3 linked regions of the Drosophila melanogaster genome follow. The protein of the gene in region 1 interacts with the protein of each later gene in a pairwise test. Each region holds a gene or a part of one and is shown in the gene's direction. Other genes may lie near its edges.

Region 1 (7,992 bases):
GGGATATCCTGGTTTAATTGTTCCCTTTGAAGGATTGCAGTGTTTTTAAAAAAGAGAAAAAAAAAACAAGAACCAAGGAGGAAAACAAAAATAAACGCGACTCAACGTGAAGCTGAAGCAACAAATGTGCGACCATTCAGGGCCAGTTTAAATATACCCATGTTATCGGTCAGCGAGATTTGCATGTTATCGGTCGGCATCGGTTATTATCGGTCATAGCTGCAACAAGTCGAATGATATGCAAACAAATCGGATTTATTTTGTTCGATCGTAACATAAGATAACATCAACATAAAATAAGAAATATGATCATATGTAGAAATGCATCAGCAAACGAAAAAGGTGTTCCCCGCAACATTTTGACTATATGGCAATGCTGGCCGCTGGCTTATTTATTTATGCCATGCGCTCGACGGTCACACTGGGTGCGGAGTATCGATAACACCGCGATAGTAGCGCACCAAGCATCGATGTAGTTTTTACATCCCTATTCTGCAATATTATTTCACGGCACGGTCCAAAAACACGGATAACAGGGCTTGGTTGGAGTCGCGCAAACGCAAATAGAAGCCATGGACGTTGCCCCCGCACCGCCCGCCAGTTCCGGCGGCGATCATAGCACCCAGCAGGCGCCGATCAGTCCGAATCAAAATGCAAACCAAGCGCCGGTCGCACTCGCAAAGGCAACAACAATCGAAAATGGTGTACAAACAGGAGGAGCGAAAAAGCCAGAGAGCTGCGGTGAGAAAGCCCCCGGTTAGCAAACTTGCTCGAAGCTAGTCTAGTTTCCTGGTTAACGTTTACCTTTTAGCCGTAGAGCCGACACATTCCACTGATGCTAGCCAGAAGGACGACGACGAGGGCAAGCCGAAGACCGAGCTGGCTGACAAAGTATTGATTACCATATGCAGCGCCGATCGCAAGATCAAGAAGACCTTCATGTCGTTGCCCACTCGAAAGGATGTAATCGACAAAGGTAAGGAACGTCCGACGAATTGGGTATCTATTCATCCAGTATTCCGAATGAACGTTGCCCAGTTGGAAGTTATTAACCAGTAGACAGTCTTTAATAAGAATCTATTGGGTTTAAGCTTAGAGCATTTCTGCATTTAAAAATATAAATTTGATCAATGGGTGATATATTTATCTAGGATAGAAATTAAATAATTGTACATATTTTATTTAATTTATATCAATAATATATTTGTATTCGGTAGCTCACAAATACGGCCTGTGCGGCAACACAATTGTCCTGGAGAGCAACGGCTGCGAGATCTGCGAGGACGACGTGCTCTTGTTCGCTGCCAAGGAGAAGATTCTGTTGATGCTCCTCGCCGAGTCGGAGGAGTATGTGGTGCTTCCTCCGCCATCGCCCCTCAACCGATCCGAACGCGCCGGCAGCTCGGTGGATCCCAGCTTCTATGCCAACAACAGTATTGTGTCGAACCCGAACGATTCGACGGTCTCTAATGACGAAACCATGTCACTGTCCAGCGTAACGCCATCAAGTGCAAAGAGTTCTGCTCTATTCAAGGAGTTCTCGATACCCTGGAGCAAGGTGCCTGGGGACATAATGAAACTACTAAAGGGAAAGGGGAGTTTGGGCAAGCGGTTGAATACACTTGCGAATGTTTTGGTGGAGGCTCTCCGTGAAATATCCGCCCACATTCCCATACGGATTTTCCGGCAGGTCGCCCAACAGGCGGCTGAAAAGTACCCCGACTCCTTACTCGAAAAAGACCGCGAGGGACAGTTTATAGCCACCACTCCGCAATCGCTCATATCCAAGATGATCAACCGTAACAATGCCCTAAACAAACCCCAGAAACGCGGCAGCTCGGGAACCTTTGAGATCCACATCCCTAATAAAAAACGAAAATTCGGAGGTGGTGCTTCCAATGGTGATGCAAAATCGCTGGCTCTTAACAGGGATCTGGAGCACAAAAAGGAGTTACTAATCTCCAGCTACCGAGGCAGTTCCCCACTGGAACAGTCCGTCATAATCGAATATATGAAAGAGTGCTTTCCGTTGCAGCGCTCCTTTTTTAATAACAGCGAAAAGATCCCAGATATAACGGCCATTAAGGACAATTGGCCATATATTTTTGACAAGGCTGTGCTGTACCAGCACTTTGAGCTGCTTATGTCCATCGATCCCCGGGCTCTAGAGAAGCGCTTGGCTACCGAAAAGGATCGCTTTTTCAGGTTCTTTAAGAGTTCAAAGAACAAGAAGATCAGCTCTTTGGACGAGACCAACGCTAATTTCCTGCGTGGCATAGCGTACTATTTTAATGAGGATCCCGACTACATTTTCAAGCACCTCGAGAACAGTTCCCTTAGCAAGGAATCACTGCAAAGCACGAATCCCACAAACGCCCCCTGGGTGGCTCTAGTCAGTAAGTACACAAAAATTAATATCACTAAAAGTGTTTAAATACTTTTAAAATATTTATCTTCCCACAGATTCACCCATAACAACGGCCGACGGCGTGGAATCGCAAATGGAGGCGAAGGTCTACATTGAAGGCCAGATAATGGCCACATTCGCCGCCAAAGACGAAGACCTGCCGGACATTCTGGCCCAGTTAATCTGCTACTACTATACCTTTAACATGATGTACCCTAAGGAAGCCAATCAAACACTCGAATTTATCGTCGTTTACTTTCTGCAGCACTCGCCGGAACAAGTGCGATCGGCCAAAAAGTCTGTGACCACCAACGGCAAGTTTAACCACCTCATCGCCAAGCTTGCCAATGTACATGGCTGAGATTTCATTTGGACGATTTTTGGCTGGAACCATGGCGCAGCGAGCGCCACTTCAATCTCCTCTTGCTCCTCCCAACGGAGGAGGAGCCGAACTCTGTTTAGTTTATTTATTTTCGCCGACCTATTCCACATGTATTTGTACCACTATTTTTAAGATTTGCATAAAGTGTGTAGTAATGTTGTGTATACATTTCTGATTTGTCACCCGACAAAGAATCTTTTATTTATTTTTTAATTGAAACTTCATGTTTTGCCAGTTGGGGTTGTGAAGTCACCTAAGGGAAAATAAGCTAAACTTATTCATTATGTGGCCCTTTCTGAAACGGATTTCTCCTATTTGGTCCCTTCTTTCGATAAGGATGTGCATTATCTCGCATTTTCTGAAAGGGATGGCTACCCTTTGCTTCTTTCGCATTTGATGATTTCACATTTCGACGTGTATGATTCGAACGTTCTAATTCGAACTTGTCCTTTGTCAGCTGTCTATATTTCAAGTCCTTTAGGGCAGATTTAAGTGTTGCATTCTTTTTCGTTAAATTGAAACCCAAAGTGAGTTGCTTTCGGAAAAAGTTCCGCTCCTTAAAAGTGAAGTTCTCAACGTCCGTGGAGAGCTGTTGTTTTCTTTCCGTGGAGGGCTTCTCATCGTTGAAGGGCTCCCATGTAGTATCCTGCGACCGGTTGGCTTCTATGACATTTCGACGGTGGTTCTTCTGACGCTGCTGCATGAACTGCCTTGCGTCCTCGCTGTCCACATCCTGGTGTCCCCGGTCCGAAGAATCCGTAATTATGTCGTTCTTCACATGCTGCCAGGGCGTCGCAGTAGCTTGTGGAACGAGCGCTGGTTTCGGTTGGACATACTTCTTTGGCTTGAACTTGGTTTTGCCCCAGTCCTTGGTGCGGCTCTGCAATTGACGTTCATGGCGATCATTATCTTCTGTTTTCTTCGGATTGGTAGAATTCATAGCGTTGTTATTTGTGGTTAAACTGAATATCGTCCATCTGACCATCTGAGGTGCCAGTTTGAGAAACTATCGAATCTAGCTATATATGTTAAATCTTATAAAAACCTTCCATTGGTCACTTCACATTTTAGTCCATTACATGTATTATGTCACATATTGTCACAGTATTATATATATATATTATATTATATATAAGGTATTCAAACTTAATATACATATAATGAATAGCAGTTTTGGCTTGAAAGAAGCCACTTCGGCAGTCCCACCAACAATCGGATCTTATCGATAACCCCAATCGGCTCAACACGTGCGCCGCAACTAGGCGGTTTTATAAATATTAACAATTCCATAATGCACAACAGTGGAGGACAATCCGGCTGGAACCTTTCAGGAGAGGAAAGAAAACCGTTTTCGAATTACGGCCGCAACAATCAGCAGAGGCGCAGCAGTGGAGGCGGGGGAAGAGGCAGCCACAGCCAAAATCGCGCCGCCAATGGAAACTGGCCAGACGCTGGATCGGAAGGTGGGCAGAATGGAAACGCGTTTAACAAGTTCAGAGATCCCCAACAGGAGCTGGATAATCATCAGCCAAACAAGAGAGGGGGCCGAAGAAATAGAGGCGGTGGCGGAGGAGGTGGTGGTTGGGGTGGCAGGCGAGGGAACCGCGGCAGAGATTCCAATAGGCGTGGTGGCCGTAACAACTCGTGGCAACCTAAGGATCAGCATGTTAGTCCTGGCCAAAGTAACATGCTGTACTTCGATAATGTGGGGGACTTTACCGAAGACCCACCTCTGCCTCGATCCTCGCCTGCTCCCTCCTCTCTCAGACAGGAGAGCCTGCCACCTGTTACTTTCGCTGCGGACTTGACGCCACCACCACCTGTATCTGTTGCACCACCTGATGTGGCTGTTACGCCAGAAGAACCTACTGTGCCGCTAATCAATATCAAGAAGGAGAAAGAAATGGAGCACAAGTCAAAAATAAAGCAATTTGTCAAAGCGGAGCCCAAATCTCCTAAAAAGAAGAAGGTTAACTCCTCTAGGTCGTCATCTACTTCGGGAGAGGAGTCTGAACCCGAACCAGGGGAAATGGTAGTCAACACTAAGGCAGTGGTGGTGCCGTCCCCAAAAGCGAAGGCCATCAAAACACCTGTAGCATCAACTCCGAAACCAAAGGCTGTAAAACCAGTTTCGTCCTCCGACTCCTCAACTTCGGACAGCGACACCGATGATGAACAGAGTCATCCGCCGGCAAAGAGTAAAAAGATGGAAAAGAACACCGAGGAGGATGTTGTCTGCATGGGCTCTCAGGAGCGCCAGTTTACCATTACCGATGAGGAGGAAAGCACCGAACCTGAAGACGACAAGAAGGCCAGAAAGCAAAAAAACAAGGGTAAAACCGTGGATGTGTGTGGCATATGCGACAAGAAGGTAAATATTTTAAAAGAATGTTACCCAATTTAAAAAAATCTCTTCCAGGGCCACACCTCCTTCCAGTGTCAGATGATATGTCGTAATTGCTCCGGTAGTTATCATGGTCTCAAAAACTGTCCAAACCCGCCCAATCTAAATATTGCCATCCAGTCGTTTGTGGAGTTTGCCATGCAGCAAATGACTGCCTTTCATTGCGAGCAAGGATTTGGATTTCCTGCTGGCACAGTCACAGCTCCAGTTTCAGCAAAACCCAAAAAGGACAAAAAGGCGTCAATAAAAAAGATAAAGAAGTCTTCACAGAAAAGGATGAAGGTGGAGCCGAAAGATCATGACGAAGAAGATGACGAGGAAGATGACGACGAAGATGAAGATGACAGCAGCGAGAGCGATGACTCGGAGTCCAGCGAAGAGCCTCACCCAGCTCCTGTGTCCAAACAGAAGCGGAAACGAGGCACCAAAGCCTCCGTATCGGCCGCAGCCAGTCTACCTCCTCAAGTGTTTCCATTTCCCCTTCTAGGCGCCCCGGGCGCCCCTTTTAACTCCATGATGTATTCTTATAGAGCTCCGTTTAATTTTTCTAAATAGTTATAGCGTGAGTTAGTTGTAAAGGAACGTGAAAGATAAATACATTTTCAATACCAATGGATTTAGTTCTTTCATTTTAATATTTACGGAATTTAGGAATTACGCCTCTGTTGTTTAAAACGAGAATGAAGTTGAATTAATTTTTGTACAATACATACCGGGGAATAATATCGATAACCAGGGCAGACCTATTTATCGAAATGTATCAGCCGACGCAGCCCTGGTTTTGTGTTTTGCCAGCTGTTGCTTCCACGCTTTTGAATAAAAAATCAAATTAATAGTGTTTACTAGGAAAAACGTATGAAACTCAGTGAAAAAACTTTGCAAAAAACTTTTGGGTAAGTGTATTTACCTAAATTTATTGGTTTTCTACGATTAAATCTCAAGAGCTTTGAGTTTTTAACTAAAGGATCCAGGTGTCTGATTTTTAAAGTTATACTCAACTTATTTATAAGGAAGCATTTTAAACGATAAAAGAAAACATAGTACATAAATTTAGGACATCATATTGAAAATGAATATTCCTGGACTCTGAAGTATGTAAGTGCCTCGGAAACGAAATATACAAGTAATTTTTAGGGCTACTTCCCGCCAGAGCTAAGGCATCCTGCTTTAAGATCAATTTTCCTTGCCCTGTCTGCTTGACAGGATCCTAGGGTATGCAGAGAGCCAGGGTCTCGCGTTCCTGCTCGGTGCCGCAGGACACTGGGTGATTCTGGCCCCGGGGATCGATGCCTGGCTTGAGCATCGTCTGCTGCAGCTCCCAGATGATTTCACACGACTGGACGCTCACGGCCAGCTTAAGCACCGACTGATAGTTGAGCGGATTAACCGCATAGCTGAGGATACCCCTGGCAATCTGCTCGAACAAATAGTTCCTGTCAAGCAGAAGGAGCTCCTCTCGTACCTCCATCATACGGTTTTCAAAGTGGCACTGAATCGCTGCAAATACCAGCTTGTCCAGACCCACCAATAGATCCCGCTTAAACTTCACCAGGTAGTGCTCTATGAACACGATCTGGTTGCGATTTAGATGCGGCAGGCGCACCTTGTCCTGTATTACCTGTTCGCCGATCTGGCTGACAACCAGAGAGGCTAATGATCCCGCCGGAGTGGCCCGACGTTCGCTGCACGGGCGGACGTCCACGAACGGATGAATCTCGTAGCTGCCCACGCCAATGGTGCTGGCTACACCGCTAAATGATACATGGGAGGCGCGCGAGTGGTTTTTCGGCTGTTTGGCCATCGACGGAGGCACTTCCATGGCTTTGTGGTCTCTGGCGAATCCAATGATCTGATAAGCTTTCTGCAGGCGGAATGAATTAGTGGTATGTCAAGAGGGACTGCTATTAACACTTACGTAGTGCACATATTTCTTTGCATCGCAGACAAAATCCTTAATGCGCGAGATCAGCACCTGCAAGGCACACTCATCCTCGCTGAGATCGTCGTTTAAACCAGAAATTATGTAGTCCAGTATATATTGTGCCGCCTTATAGATGGGGTCGTCTGGTGCGAAGCTGAGAGCGGTCTGACCCTCCATGGCAATGGCTGCATTCAAGGCGTAACAAAGATCACTGTCTAACAATCCCTCAAAGGTGGCCTGATACTCATCGCAGAATGATGGCTTGCGTTCCTGAAGTGTCGACTTCTTCTTCTTGCGGCGCTTTCTTTTGGGCTGACGAGCAGTGATGGCCTTTTGAGCTCTTTCCTTAATCTCGTCCTGAATCCGTTGCCACTTTTCTCTGTAATGAGCCTTGTGCCTGTCTATAAACGCCTCTCGCTCTTTTTCCACCTCCTGCAGGAGGTATTCGATCCTACGCTGATTAGCAATTCGCTCATCAAGTCGCTTCCTCCACGACTGAATCTGGTGCTCAGTGTTCTTTACCAGCCGTTGTTTCCTCAGGATTCGCATGTTTTTGTTGAACCGATCCTTTTTGAACTGGAAGAGCTTCTTCTGTTTGATCAATAGCTTTCTCATCAAATCCTGGCACATGCTTATGTGGGCAGCTACACGCATGTTTGTCAGCATCTTGCGGTGCTCCAGCAACATATTCTGCATGGTGGCCAGGTTCTCTAAGCGCTTAAACTTCTCATATGTGATATTCAGCAGATGGACCTTTCTTTCGTGGCGTTCCTGCTCCTGTAGTTTCTTTCTGGCAAGAACCTCCTCAGTGCACTGGTGACGGGCTGCGAGATTCTGGTGATCCTTTTTTGTGATGGACTCCGCGTTGGCGATCAGCA
Region 2 (8,871 bases), on another chromosome or scaffold:
ATTCATATGCTCACTACATAAGGAAGTAAATAAAAATATCAAAATCTTGAAGGATATAACCCTTCAATCTCAGGCGCATAATTATAGCCAAAGTGAGTCGACTAAAAGGGTTAAAAGGGGGCAACTGTGCTGGGCAAATAGTTCCACTAATTAGAGACAGGTTGCAAGGACACGCGGATGCAGATGATGTCGCAGTTTGTTTGTTGATTTAGCCGAAGGCGGCACAACTCAGCGGGGATCGGGGGGATAAGGTGGGTTACATGTTACGGGTCACGGGATTGCAGAATGCAGAATGAGAATTTGTATTTTCCTTTCGTGTTTTTCCTTTTATTTTTTTTTTTCGGTTTTTTTTTTTTTTGCTTTTTTTCGAGCCGGTACCGAGAAGTTAACTCGATTTGTGCGGAATTTGACAGGCCGAAAAAGGAACCAAGCGAGGCCTCGCAACTTCGACTTGGCTGATCCAAGGCCACACGGGCAGCAGTAAGGAGGAGCCTTGGGATTGGATTTGGGATTTTGAATGCAGCCAAAGGAAAACATCTGCCCAGCCTGCGGGGCAAAAATGCACGGAAACAAAGCGGCAAAACAGAAGCAGGAGGAAAGGCAATGGGAAAACGAAACACCCCCCCCCCCTTCCCACCCCTCAAAAATGAACGAAAAAGGAAAAAAAAAAAATTAGAGCAAAGCGAATGCAAATGACAAAATAATGCGTTCTCGGGCAGGAAAAATGTTTTCGTGGCCAAATGGCAAACGAAACGCGAACAACAATGCTGCTGACCAAGCTCCTAAGTTCAATTTTTGGTGGCTGTAATTTAATAGTGAAATACGACTGAAACAAGTCAAATATTTATTGGAATTCAGAGGTTTTAAAGCAGCAAATTTAAGATTTTTTGGTAGATATAAATAGGTGTTCATACGCACTTGTATTAGTTATTAGTTATAAAGTAAAGTACATCAAGTATACGCACAGTTGCACCAACTATTTTTTTTGCCGCCTTTCGTCCATTTAACGTTAACGTAACAAGTTTATATTAACCAATTAGAATGTACTAAGCTAAAAAGCATGGACATCAAGTATACGCACCATAGTACCAACTATTTTATGCCGCCTTTCGGCCATTACGCATACGCAACGTTGGCTGTCTTATCCAATTTTAAATGACTCTTTGCCCAGTGAGAGTAGAAGTGTTGTTAGTGTAAAACTGGGCACAAAATGGAGCTGGGAATAAATTGCAATTTACTTGCGTAAATTTAATAAAGTTTTCACCCCACAATTTTCCGCTCTTTCCGATTTTAAACGTGCTGCTACTGCACCACGTTCCCTGTGCAACTTGTTGTAATGCAATCTGTTTGCCGTTCGCCTTGAGCCGCAATTTTATGAAAAGCTGTTGAAAATAATTAAGATGAAATGCCAAAGATTGCTGCACATCGTTCAGTTCTTATACATATATATATATATATATATATATCTTCAGATGCAGCTGCTGGCTTCTTGGTTTCTTGTGTGTATGAGTGTGGTTTTTTTCTTCTTCATTCGTGATGGATCTTGTTATTATGCAATTTACCACGCAGAAATGGCCGAAATTTATCTATGGTTGGGTATTTTGGTATCTAAAAAATTACACCTTCTCATTGTAGCCAATCTTATGGGAATTTATTCTCACTTCCTATTTAATTCACATGTACGTCTCTGTGGCTTAGAAAATCCGATTCTTCCCTTTTCCTAATCACATGTAGAGCGATTTGTCACGAATTACAACTAATTGAAATGCCTCAGCATGTTAATTGAAAATGTAATCCATTAATGCCCGAAAATGCCTTCAGTTTACCCCGTCATTTTCGACTGCGAGAAAATGTGTGTTGAGAGCCCTTTTGTTTGGGATTAATTAAGCGACAAAAGACGTAGTTTCATTAATTGAAATAAATAGCGAAAAAAAAAGTACTGAAGGAGCTGCTGTTTTCTTGTTGAACGAAACAAAAGAAAAAGTATTAAGCAGCCCAAGACGAGGAGAAGCGAAATAAATTCGTCTAGGCAACAGGCGTTAATATGCAATTAAATGAAATTTCTTCCAACTTTCTATGTATGCTCTATTTATACGTGACTGTGGGTGGCTGGGTGTGTGTGTGTGAGTGGGTGTGTGCGTGCGTGTCGGCTCAATTAAATCCGCAAAGTGTCCCCTTTTCCCCACTGAACACAAGACGCGTGTGCAGATCCCATGAAATGAATGCTTAAATCCTCGGCCAAAAAAAAAAGAAATACCCCACAAAGCCAGAAAAGCACAGAAACCAGCTGAAATATTTTAGGCGAAGGCAAATACCCTCGACTTTTTTTTTGTTATAAGTAAAATATGATAAAATCTTTACGTAAAATAAATAATATAAAATGATTACTTAGAAATACGTCAGATTTTTTGTTTGTCTGTTTTGGTTTTTTTTTCGCTTTCCATTTACTATGCTCTTTTCGTTGGTAGAGCATTTGAATTTAGAAAAAGTTGCGCATTTCTGTCAAATATTCCTTTGTTTTCTAAAGCCTTCTGGGAATAGCAGGGTATTACGTTGGCATTATGACCCACCTGGATGCCTAGAAAGTGAGAGACAAGATATTGTCAAGGTTGAATAGCTCAGGAAATATGTAGGAACGGTGGTGAAAGGAAAAAAAAAGTGAAAGGAGTGGCGAACATTCCATTAACATTTTGCCAACTGCGAATAATGAGTTAATAAAATCGATATATCACTAAAGATGTAGTTGAGAATACAATTAATATGTGCAACTTTATACATTTGATAATTTAATTGATTTTATTACCAATAAATTCAAAACGTTTAAAAATGTGTCACACGACCAAAAGCATTTGCAAATTCAATTTGCTGCGATCACTGGACGAAAATAATTGATTTTATTGCCTTTTGCCACACCTAAAAAGCAACAGCAACCGCAACTGCATAAGAACATTAAAAAATGTTAACGAGCTACACTTTTTTTTTTTTTTTGTTGTGCATTTGTGTATTTTTGGAAAAGCAAACAGCAAGCCAGGGCAAAAATAAACAACATGCTAATAAAAACCGATTGCAATAAAATAAATCACAAATCCAATTTCAAAGGTTCATAAAAATAAATACAGAATTGATATCGCTAAAAGCGTTTTAGTAAAAAAAATAACAGCAATAAGGAGAAAATGTGCACTTTAATTGGAAATAAAACAAATATTTGAATAAACAATAAACTTAAACAGAAACAAGATACAACAATAATACGCCAATCAGTACATAAAGTTTAGAAATAACAACTAAACAAATGCGAAGTACATTTTCAATGAATCTACAAAGAAATAAACAAAAAATTTACAGCAAATTCAACGAAAGCACAATACAAAAAAATAACAAGAAAAGTATTAGTATTAATCGAATTAGTTAATGAAAAAAGAAAATAACGAAAAAACGTAACGAAAATATTAAACACAATATTACATATGGAAATGCTTAACTGCTTGCGACAGCTGCGCAGCTGCGACGGCGTTAGCTAAAACTGCTTCAAGCTCTCCAGGTGAACGAGTAAGCAGTTCAGAGAGCTAAACAGTTAGAGAGCAAAGAGAGTCAGAGGGACAGTGCTAAAGAGAGGAAGTGCAGCACAGCGCTGCATTCGCATTTCAGCTGCTGAAGCGAGCAGTTCGAAATGCGCACTGAAAGGCGCGACGATCGCTAAATTAAGCAAAGACAAATGAAAATAAAGTAAAGAAAACAATATTTAGTGTGGCGCTCTCGCGAGTTGGCAACAGCCCAAAAACCAGATTACCAATATTTGTTGAAAATCTCGTGAGTTGGACACAAATAAAAATTGGAAGAAATCGTTTTTAAATATAATTGCTAAAGAAAATAAAAGAAAATTATACGACACCTTGCCAGTTGCTAATTAAACTACATAATATGGTAGAACAATAACAAAAATAAAAAAAAACAGTAAACGGACTGAAATGAAAATAGTGATACAAACCAAAACAAATCAATAATAAATCAAAAATACATAATACATTTCGCAAATAATTCCAACGAAGACTATATAAATCTAATGCGAATATCAATTGCCTTGGACAACAAATGATTAAAATCCAATTGCTTGAAAGCCTACACTTTGCTTAACTCACTGGGCGATTGATTTCCATCGCCTGCATGCGTTTCTGGCCGTAATCCCCCTCCACCAAGGTGACCATGTGCAGCCGGAAATGCTTCCGCATGCCCACCCTGGTCATCTGCGGCGTCGTACTGACCATTATCCTGGTCTGCATCACGGGCATCACGCTGACGAACAGCATCAACATATCGAATATCGTGAAGCTGCGCGAGAAGGTGGCCAGCGATTCGGCGGCGGCCAATGGGGGTCACCAGGCGGCCCAGACGCGGGCGGCTCTCGTTGAGCAGCAGTACTCCACGCTGCAGCAGCATCATCTTTCCCGCAGCGATCTCAACTATATTCAGGCGGCGACACATCCGAAGAATCTACAGCGCCAACTGCAGCAGCAGCAGCAGCAACAGTTGCAACAGCAGCAACCGAATAAGATTGTCATCGAAATTGGTCTGAGCAATGACAGCGGACCAAGCAGTGCGCCCGCAAGCAGTACACTTGGTTCAAGCAGTACCGGTCCGCGTATTCTTCAGGCGGCCGAGGCTTTGATGGAGGGTAATGTGGATTCGATTTCATTGCCAGCAGCAGCGCCGCTAACAGCAGCTACTACAAGTTCAGCTAAAAGCTTAGAAAACAGCCAAGGGAGCGATACGCCGCATAGCCATGCAAATACTACCAATGCAGATATTACAATGGGCATCGCCGATCACAATCCAGGGGGCATTCAGTTCGAGCGACGCGCCCACGTTAAACAGGTATACACTGGGCGAAAATACGAACGCTGGCAAGAGCCGGCACTTGAATTAGAAATGTAGACAATTTTCGAAATTTACTTAGATATGCATTGGGGCAACTTTTCAATAATTCTCATTGATGCAATTCGAAATTTGGGACTTTGAATGAGTAAAGTAATGCAAGTTGAATATATTTCTATTTCTTAAATATTGATATATATATATATTTGGAATTATGTTTAATCGTGTGTTCTTTACAAAACCTATACATTTATAATTCTATTTTCGTATTTTGTTTAAGCACTTGAATAAATATTTTTTTTACCTATGTACTAATTTTTCGTTTATTTATTTTATAACGTTTAGTGCCATAAATCATTGTGGTTTGGGTTCATTTCTCATTTGCCCTCTTGCCGTGTAATTTTCGCAATAACAAGAATAAACGAAAGCTGTACAATTGCGAAAATTCAATTTACGTGTTTGATTCGGCGGCGTTCGGCTCACGTTTTTCCGTTTTTCTCGCTTTTATTAGAGCTATCTGGCTAATCATTTTCCTGCATTGTCACGCTGGACGGCAAACACGAATTCGCGCTTTGGCAATCCCATTTGCCCCTCCATTTCGTCCCGCCGAGCAATGCATTTGCTTTTCATTCGATTTCCCAGCCGGAAAATTTTCATATGAGAAAGCACCGTGTGTTTGGCGTGTTATAGTTTTTTTTTCGGTTATTTTTTTTTTTTTTTTTTTTTTGGTTTCCTTGTTTATGTGCTCGTATTTTTCGGTGGGTGTTTCCCAATTAAATTTGTCACGTTTTGTTTGCTCGCCATTTGCATATATGTATAACCGAGTATACATAACAGTTGGCGTTGTTCTATAGTTTTCTATAACACTGTGATTTAATGGCTTTCGCTTATGGCTCGAAACTAGTTGGCACTAGTTCTAACCGATTTTGGGTCGTTTATCCCAAACCGGTTTTCGCTTTTCTCCAGTTTGATATTACTTAAGATTTATGCAAATGTAATATATACAACATAAAAGTTGTAACGCAAATATTATGTATTCATATTACTCAGCAAAATTGATTAATGATATATGCAATAAAATACTCATTTAAATGGCATACAACTGGCAACTGTGGTATTATTTAATAATACGGCTTAATTTCATGCTAGTAATAGAATTATGTTTTTTTTTAATCTTTTGAAAATATGAAAATTTAATTATTCGTCAACAAAACTTTAAACTTTAAAACTATTAGCGCTTTTAATTAAATACGGCTGCATTCGCCGCCAGTCAATTGCAAAGACAATATCAGCTAACAATTTTGAGCCCTTTGGGCATTACGACAATAGAGATTATAGATTACAATAATTAACATAGTTTTAATGGTGCTGGGAAATCAAATGCACATCCATATGCAAAGTAAAACTTTATTTTTGTCCCATGTATAGCAATAATAAAACAAATGACCCCCCCCCCCCCCCCCAAAACCCTTCCACTTGACTTACCCTTAGAAAATCCCATGTAAAGCTCGCGATTTCTATAATGCGATTACAAGAGGGCGAGGGGAGCTTGTAAAGTTCATGGAAAAAGTTACCACAAACGAAAGGTGAATGTGCCAAATGTCTAGTTTAAGGTATATTATCATATTTAGTTAGTTCTTAAAACTACAAACTAACTAAACAAACTACTAAACTAGCAAACCATCATTTAAGTTTGTTTCATATACAAACATAAATTAGTTAACAAATAAAGTGAGTACTAAAGTATCTGGCAGTCGGGAAAACTTAATTTGTTATTATTATTTCCCAACTAACCAACTTTGCCAGTCATATTCAGTCAAGAGGCATCACTAAGCCAATTAACTTTGCAAACTTATTCCGTGTGAAATTAATTACTTGATTTTCAATGTGCAATGTGACTTGTGTTTTTCTTTTTTGGTTTTGCCATATCATAGAAAGAGAGCAAACGTCGCTGTGCGATAGAGACAGCATGGTAAATTAAGCTGATGAATTCTATACGAGACTAGCTCATTTATTTACAAACGCTAATTTTGCTCACTTCCTTTTGTTGATGTCGATGACGGGTGAATTTAGTTGTTTGCCAGAAGAAAATATTGTTTATTGTAAATGCAATTGTGGATATGTTATGTATACAGAAAAAGGGAGTAACACCATTTCGTGTTTTATACGAAACTTAATTTCTTCGTATTTAAAATCTAAACACTTTTTCTTTTTTTGTTAACAACTTTATTAACAACTTTAAGCTGAGTAACTCCCATAGATGACTTTCGATTGGCATTGACTTTGGCTGGTTATGCACTCTATTTAATATACGCCCATTTATCATACGCAATTCTCTTTTGACCAGAAACATGAGGGCCGTAACCTCTGCCATATTCTACGTCTCCTTCCACTTTTGGTTGCAAAAGTTTTTCTTAATAATAAATTGCTTAACTTTTTAGGTAAACAAAAGCACACTTTGCTGGTGGTGGGGAGTAAGGCGCAGTTTTTGGCTTTCAACTTGCCGCAGGCTTCTCACGTGCGGGTTGCCCCAAAAAGTAAAGTGGGCGGGAGTAGTGGGAGTGGCAGTGGCAGTGGGTGGCAAGGCTGCAAGTTGGCCTGTTGTGGAAATTAAAATAATTGTAAGGGAGTTTGCGGTGCTACTTTTGTGTCCCTCGGGCGTTTGTAATTATCGCCAAGTTGAGCTAGTTTTGCCAAGTGAACTAGTTGCCCCGACTGCACAGATTCTATTTACTTGCAGAAATTATAATTTATACAGCAGGTTGGATAAAATCCGATAGATAAGATAAGTCTGTCAGATGTTAAAGAAATGCGGCAGAGTAACTCACTTGCAATGAACACCATTACGGCTGTATTACTTACTTTATATTGTTGACAAAGTGCACAGCGTTTTTGCATTTAACTCATCCCATTTGTGTGTCATGCATAATGAAAACGGAAACTAAAGTTGTGAATTATTTCTCATTGTCGCAACAATTATCGCTTATTTCCGCTTGCCCGTCAAGCGAGCACTTGCTTTCCATCTAGTGAATTTTCTTTTCATGCTGATAAAGTGTTTTTCTTTTCTTTCCTCTCGCTGATTTTTTGTTGTTTTTTTTTTGTTTTTTTGTTGCTTCCACTTTTCAACGTAATACATCTGTCATGTCTGGGAGGCCGGTCATAATTTATAACCACCAATTGCAATGCAAAGCAGCCTCTTTATATGGAAAACACGCGCCTGCCGCTCACACATACACCGATAAATTTGAGTCCTTAAACGTGGTAAAATATCAACAAAAAAAAATATGTTTCAATTATAAATAATAATTCAATTTATTCAACATTTGCAAATCAAAATGATGGGCAAAATTACTTGCTATCATTACATACATAAATCTAAGAACTAAATTCTCTAGCTTAATTGTAAATCATATCTACTCCAATTGCTTTCTCCCAGTGTACTCATGTACTTTCCGACTCTTTTACTTTCAGGTGAGTTGCGAATGAATGATTTGAGAAAACCGCTTCGCGTGTATCGTTCTGCTGCTGCTTAGCGCAATATCATGGATAAAAAGTTTTGTCCAGCCAAGAAATTGGATAGAATCCAGATGGTAAGAGACTGTGTGCAAGATGGAAGACCAGACCGAAGAAATGCTGAGTGAGAAAGTGCCGCTAACAGTTGCCAACAATTCAACAATAAGCTTCAATTTGACGCTAAAAGCAGGCAAGAGGAAAACAGGACAAGGTGATAAGGGGCATAGAGGTGGGAAGGGGGGGGGCGTGGCAGGAGTGGCAAGAGCGGAAGGGAAAGTAAAAGGTGAGGGATCTGGCATGTCTTGGGAAAAGTTTCCTGAGCTCGGACAAATGCGCAAATGACAACGCCCCAATGCTTTCAATTATCATGTCCTGTTCTAGTAAAATCCAACCACCCAGCGCCATCAACTTTCTTTCATTCTAGGAAATTGTCCTTGGCAAAACTTTCTCTGCATATATACCAGGCAATCGCGTGGAAAAACCTTC
Region 3 (6,871 bases), on another chromosome or scaffold:
AGATCCGACTTATTACATGGCGTGAAACCTATACGGTTCTGTCCTGTCTGCTTGTGCTCCATGTCGTGGATGCCAAAATATGCACCATGCCCTCAATGCAATACTAAAGCAGTTCCCATACTCCAAGGACATCCGATCGAGAATATTACGGCAGAAGAAATTTTGGCTGAACAACTAGTAAAACCAAAAGCACCGCCCGGAGTCGAGGACTTTTGTGAGCCACCATGCGAAAAGGTGCGCCGGAAGATCTGGAACGATACCGAGTGCCCACCATGCCGTTGTACATGCTCTAAGGGTAATACCTGCCCCCACTGCCGAATCCGCAAGATGTGCGATGACATTTTTACCGCCAAGAGTCCACCAAAACCTCCCCGCCGAATTCCGAAGCCCCGGTCAAGTGAGGATTTCTGTGTGGTCATGGAATCTGAGGGGGAAGATGATCTTCCCTACCTGGCGAAGGTATTTTCCGAGCTAAAGAATCTGTACCATATCCACGACACCAAGAAGCTTTCAGCTATTAAGGAACGCTGCGCATCTCAGTCCTTGTTCACTATCCGCAGCAGGCGATCCATCAAGGAGCTGACCAAATCGCTATACCCAGGAGACAAAATACTTGACGGAAGAAGCCATCATCCAAAGGCTGGCCACAAAAACTGCATTTCGTCCTCAAGCATTGTGTCTCGTCGCCATGGTTGGAACTGGACAAAAAGTTGCGAGGCACGGAAGAATGGCTGGCGGCCAGGTGCCATCCTACGATCCTCTGGCCATGTGATGCGTCACTTCCTGATGCGAAGTAGAGATCCGAATATGTGCGGCAAGGTAACAGCTGATTACGAGGAACAGAAACGATTTGGCCATCCCGTGCTCAATATTTGCAAGCGAAATGGTAATATATTCGTAACCCTTCGTCCACTGCCCACTTTGGGTATGAAACAGAAACCCATAACGTTCCGGATCGTCAAGAGCGATATGGCGGTGGCACTGCGCCAGATCAAGCGTGCTCTCAAGGATCAGGGCTTCGAGAAGTGCAAGTGCCACCAGTCCCTGATGATGTGCACCTGTCGCGATGCCTTGGATAAATTTCACCTGAATAAGGCTCTCAAGAAAGAGTGCCAGAAGCGTTTTATAGAGCCATGTCCCGACCACTTGGTGCTTACCGACACAAGTGAGAGCGATTTGGAGTTCGATCTGGATGTGACTCCGCCGGCGGGAACTCGTAGACCGAAGCGCAAAGCCCTTAGGAACGTGGTGAATCATAGCACCCAGACTGCAATGAAGGAGCCACCAGTTATACCGCCTCCATATCCAGTAGCCCACAATCACTTCTATAGGGCCTACGATTGCGCAGCAGGAGATCGGTATATGGGCACAGCCTTCGGCGATAATATAGAGACCGTTTTCGAGGATGGAGTCTTTGGATACCGGGGTGGTGGCCAGCATGGAAAGCCCGTAATCTGGCGACACCCGAAGGTGTGGGGCAAGAAGGCCCAGGCACCACTCCCGATTGGAACCGCTAGGAACGCCATCGATCCTTACCGGTATACCAAAAATGTTTGGAAAGAACTGCCGCGAAAGATAATACAAAAAATGAGAGCAAAATCAAGGAAATAATTGTATTCTTTTATTAAAAGTCAAAATGTAATAAGCGTGTTTTATTTCTCTTAAGCTACAATGGCAGCCGTTTGGAATTATAGGAATTAGTATAATAGTATTATAAATAATTTTATTTTATATTAGGGAGCACATTTTTTGTGATTGTTAATGACGCAATCCAACTTGTTTTCAAAGTATTGCTAAAATTCTATTAATACGAGCATAAGAATTTGATTAAATATGCTAATTATATAGAAATTATAAACTGGTCTCAATCGACTGCAAACGGTAGTATAAAAGCGCCATGCCAACTGTTAGACTGTATTCATTAAAGTTACCAAAATGAAGATCTTCGCTCTGTGCGCCTTTTTGCTCCTCATCCTGGCTGCCGTCCAGGCCAATAGTTCTCCTGAGACCAGTGCGATCTCTGAAGGGAACCTTAAGAAAACTGCTGGATAATTTATAATTTCACGAAAGCTACTTGAATATTGGAATAAATATTCTATTTAGCAGCAGAATTTGTTGTATTTATTTGTATGCCCTTGCAGAGGGTATAATGATTTCAGACAGAAGTTTGCAACGCACTAAGGGGTACATTTGCAACCATTTAAAATATGTATAAATAATAAGTATTAACAGCAGAGTGTATATAGCCATATAGTCATTTAGTTATCCGTAAGTCCGTTTTTGCTCAAATTAGTCACATATTTAAATCTTTACATAAAATTGTTGTTTGAATTTAATAAATACGCATTACTGCAAATGTATATAAGACGGAAGACAGTATTGGATATATATTATTATAATATTATAATATTGTGAATTTTCGAATTCTAAAGAAATGAAGTTAAAGTTATGTTTATGATAGTTACTAATTATGAAAAGAAGATTTATAGTTTCTAAGAAGTAAATTCCATTTAACGTTGACTCTTCTGTCATACTATACTTCAATTTCCGACAAAGGTTATTAAATTAAGAATTAGCAGTTACTTGAAAGTTGTGTTCGAAGGACACAATGCTGGATATTTTACAAGAACCAGTACATCAGTATGGAAATCGGAGCCACCAGGCGGAGTGTATTCCGCTGGGAAGATATACAGCTTACGGATCGGAAATCGGACAGGATGATCCAGACAAGGGCTTGGGATTCTGCAGCGCCAGCATCCGGCGAGGATTCATCCGGAAGGTGTACCTCATCCTGTTGGCCCAACTGATCACTTCCCTGGTGGTTATAGTTTCACTTACTGCTGATAAACGGGTGCGTCTGATGGTGGCAGAAAGCACCTGGATATTTGTGGTGGCCATACTAATAGTGGTCTTCTCTCTGGTGGCTCTGGGCTGCAATGAGGATCTGCGTCGTCAGACCCCAGCTAACTTCATCTTCCTATCTGCCTTCACGATAGCCGAGTCCTTTCTGCTGGGCGTGGCAGCCTGTCGTTATGCCCCAATGGAGATTTTCATGGCCGTGCTAATCACGGCGTCAGTTTGCCTTGGACTCACCCTTTTTGCTCTGCAGACGCGTTACGACTTTACCGTCATGGGTGGCCTCCTGGTGAGCTGCCTGATAATACTGCTCTTCTTTGGAATTGTGACCATCTTCGTGGGCGGACATATGGTCACCACCATATATGCCTCATTGAGCGCTCTGCTCTTCTCCGTTTATTTAGTTTACGATACACAATTGATGATGGGAGGCAAGCATAGGTACTCCATTAGTCCCGAGGAGTACATATTCGCTGCCCTAAATATTTACATGGATGTAATGAACATATTCCTGGACATTTTGCAATTAATCGGAGGATCCGATTAGTTGCATGAAATCTCACAAACACACAGATTATTTTACATCTGCAATTCGACGTCGAGTATTAATAAATCAAATTCAGCAGCAAGCCTATTTTACATTTACTTAAAAGCCTAAATATAGGCTTTAAAAATTTGGATATTTTTTATACAAAGCACAGTTGCCATAAATAATATAATTAAACTTGTTTGCACAAACAAATGCAGAAATAACAAGAATGACCGGTATTCAATGATCGCACCTGTTCATAATCGCTAATTAACGGGCAACCTATATATTGAAATACATTTCGTATAATTTAGTGTTTTGTGACCCAAAAAATAACGAAAAATTATAAAAAAAAAGATAACTGTAAACGGTTACGATATTAGGTATATAAGATCTTCCAGCACCTCAAAGTGTATCAAATTTTGAAACGATGAAGTTCTTTGCTCTGTGTGCCTTCCTCCTCATTGCCCTGGCTACCGTCCAGGCAACTCCCGGTGATCTGCGCCATGTTCCTGTAGGACACGGAGGACACCCAGTCAATGCTGGCCACGGACCTGTGGGACACGCTGGTCCTGTTGGACACGGTCCAGTTGTAGGCCATGGTCCAGTTGTAGGCCATGGTCCAGTTGTGGGACATGGTGTTCATGGTCATTCTGGCTGAAAACTTATCTGAATCCTACAAGGAGCGCAATGCAGACCTTGATGGAAAGAAACGAAGTGTTTGTTCAACACCTTCAGTACAGCATATCCTAATAAAATATTCGATTTATCGAAAACATATTGTGATTTTAAGATTTGGGGAAACAACAGAAAACCAGTTCAGCATTTAGAGGGCTTGCCGCAGATTTTGCATTGAGAACGTTGTTCAGAAAGATAAGCAAATGGAATCGAATAACTGGAAGTACTCATTATGAATTCCAAAAGTAAACGAAACATGCCTTGATCTCTGTCATAAGTGTTTGGTAGTCATTTTGCATTTGAAACTGGTCAGAGTTGGGCTTGTTTTTATATTCAGAACACTGTCTACCTCAGTTTTATTGTAAAGTTTAGTGTAGTAAGTCGTAAGATACTATTTCAAAAATCTAAAGTAAAAAAAAATCATTATAATTGGAACATTAATGACTCAGACTAGTTCCTCCATAAAAGAAAGCCCAGACAGACAGTAGAAATTTAAGATATCGAGATGGGACCCAAAAAGAAGTCCGTTGCTGTAGCTATTGCAGAAACTAAACCAGAAGACCAACCACCACCTGAAAAGGTGAAGCCAAAGAAAGAGCCCATCCCCGTTTTCGTATTCGATGTTATAGTCACCCATTTGGAGGCCAAAAATACCGAGTTCACCAATCCATCGAAGCTAGAAGTCACAGCAAACTTCTTCAAAACTCCACTTCTCCTCACCAATAGTCAGATAAATGTTAGCGATTTCAAGGCGAATGCCGGTCTCTCCCTTCAAAAGGATCCAAAGGAAATTCGTAAGACAGTTAACGATTGTGGGATATCCTTCAGCGTGGTGTACAGCAAGAAGGTGATTGGCTCCGGGCAGGCATCGTTCCCCTCCAGCGTAGTGGACTCCATAGAAAAGGACATGACCGATATTCTTCACTCGGACGTCATTGATTTGGCTGCAGGCGGCGAGGTGACCGGCAAACTGGAGTTCCTTTGCCGGTTGGTCGTCATGTGCATTGCTGAGTAAGTAATTCGAAATGGTCACGTGCATACATGTTTGTTGCTAAGTATTCCAGTTAATTTTATATTTGTTTACCCTTTCAGTGAGCCTGAGCTCGAGTGCGCCCGTAACATGGACAGGAGCATCAATGCACAGGATATTATGTTCGTAATGGGTGAATCGCAGGTGTGTCCCAGTGCCTGTGAACCCTGTCAAAATGATTTGGAAGCGGAGGAAGGCGACGAGCGGCTCAGACTGGACCTGGAACGATATCGCAGCCAGGGTGGTGGTATAAAGCCATACAATATGATGACGAACAACGCATCTGGGATACCAGCGTGTTGTGAACTTAAGGTTACTAAAAATACATTATTTTCCTAATATTATTATATTATTTTACAATTTTAAATTCAGAAAATGGCAATCGAGTACGAGCGGATGATTGATTCCATCACCAAACAGACCGGCATGCCGCCTCCCAAGCCTCCGTGTCGTAGTCCCGACGAGGCGAACAACTTTGGCATGAACCCCTGTTGGTGCCAACCTGAACTTCCTCAATTTCTTGAGCTGCCCGAGAAACCGGACAAGCCATGCTTCGTTTACCTGCCCGCCACCCAAGATCACGAGCCGGACTTCTGCGAGAAGAACCTAATGCCGGTTCCCATTGCGGACTGCGATGGACAGAAGCCGGAAATCAAGCCCATCCGCTTTTGTCCGGTCTGCCTGACCAATATGTCGTGGCTGCCGAAGTTTGCAGCGTGTCCGAAGTGTGGAATCAAACCGATGCCCGTGGTGGAGGATAGGCACAAGGAGAAGAAGGTATCGGCCGACCAGATCCTGCTCGAGTACTTGGGCAAAGGACCATCCACTGTGGATGACTACTGCACGGATCCGTGTGAAAAGGCCAAAAAAGATAGAGCCGACGATGATGAGTGTCCACCATGCCGTTGCAGCTGCAAGTTCGGTAAAATGTGTGCCCACTGTCGCATCCGAAAGATGTGCGCCGATATATTTAAGAGCGATCAGGTGACTCCCAAGTGTCCAAAAGTGGAGCCAAAGGAATCGGAGGACTACTGTGTGGTAAACAAAAGCTCCGAGGACTGTCGACCCTATTTGGCCAAAGTTTTCTCCGAGTTGCGCGATCTCTACGATATCAAGGACACCAAGAAGTTATCCGAACTGGACGAGAACTGCGATCGAGCGGTGCCCAAAACGGAGAAGCCTGAGAAACAAGAACCCAAAAAGGAGAACCAAGCTCCCAAGAAACCACCTTATATACCACCTAACAACAAGGGTCATATTTCCAGCAGACACAAGCGATGTGTCCTTCGATCGGGATTTGTGTCCCGACAACATGGTTGGGCCTGGAGCAACAGCTGGGAGGCCAAAAAGCTGGGCTGGCGTCCGGGTGCCATCCGTAAGCCCATCAAGAAACTGATGAAGTTCTTCCTGGAGCAACCTGCCAGAGAGAATGCATTTGCCAAATGCAAGGACACGGAGACTTTGGAGCGAGAAAAGGAGCTGGCCTCACCGGTGTTGAATATCTGCAAGAAGAACGGAGAGATCTTCATCACCCTGCGTCCTCTTTCTCCCTTGGGTATGCGCCAGAAACCCATCACTTTCCGGATTGTGAAGAGCGAAATGGCAGTGGCCCTGCGTGAGATCAAGAGAAAACTGAAGGATAAGGGATTCCGCAAGTGCACCTGTCACCAGACATTGATGATGTGCCGTTGCAGGGATCCCACCGAAAAGGTTCATCTGCAGAGGGCTTTAAACAGGGAATGCCGACGTCATTGCATTCCACCGGCTGGCGACCATCT

What was found.
Region 2: the proteins of mbm (region 1) and alpha-Man-Ia interact in a two-hybrid assay, tested with the Drosophila melanogaster proteins (one large-scale study listed by BioGRID).
Region 3: the proteins of mbm (region 1) and CG42500 interact in a two-hybrid assay, tested with the Drosophila melanogaster proteins (one large-scale study listed by BioGRID).

Annotation. Positions count from the first base shown.
Region 1 is NT_033779.5:269,723-277,714, reverse strand, and holds mbm (mushroom body miniature), read left to right. Parts: upstream 1-3,999; 5' UTR 4,000-4,080; coding exon 4,081-5,160; intron 5,161-5,208; coding exon 5,209-5,748; 3' UTR 5,749-5,803; downstream 5,804-7,992. Other genes in the region: CG17078 (uncharacterized protein), read left to right, coding at 573-756, 812-976, 1,218-2,396, 2,464-2,768; CG11555 (uncharacterized protein), read right to left, coding at 3,064-3,729; CG3345 (uncharacterized protein), read right to left, coding at 6,401-7,054, 7,109-7,992. UniProt on the Drosophila melanogaster protein: Required for small ribosomal subunit biogenesis in neuroblasts. Plays a role in mushroom body development.
Region 2 is NC_004354.4:10,303,894-10,312,764, reverse strand, and holds the start of alpha-Man-Ia (alpha-Mannosidase class I a), read left to right. Parts: upstream 1-3,657; 5' UTR 3,658-4,203; coding exon 4,204-4,872; intron 4,873-8,871. UniProt on the Drosophila melanogaster protein: Involved in the maturation of Asn-linked oligosaccharides. Progressively trim alpha-1,2-linked mannose residues from Man(9)GlcNAc(2) to produce Man(5)GlcNAc(2).
Region 3 is NT_033777.3:14,149,497-14,156,367, reverse strand, and holds CG42500 (uncharacterized protein), read left to right. Parts: upstream 1-3,717; 5' UTR 3,718-3,815; coding exon 3,816-4,046; 3' UTR 4,047-4,157; downstream 4,158-6,871. Other genes in the region: CG31533 (uncharacterized protein), read left to right, coding at 1-1,611; CG44215 (uncharacterized protein), read left to right, coding at 1,936-2,052; Recs1, read left to right, coding at 2,609-3,403; CG14355 (uncharacterized protein), read left to right, coding at 4,569-5,074, 5,156-5,405, 5,466-6,871.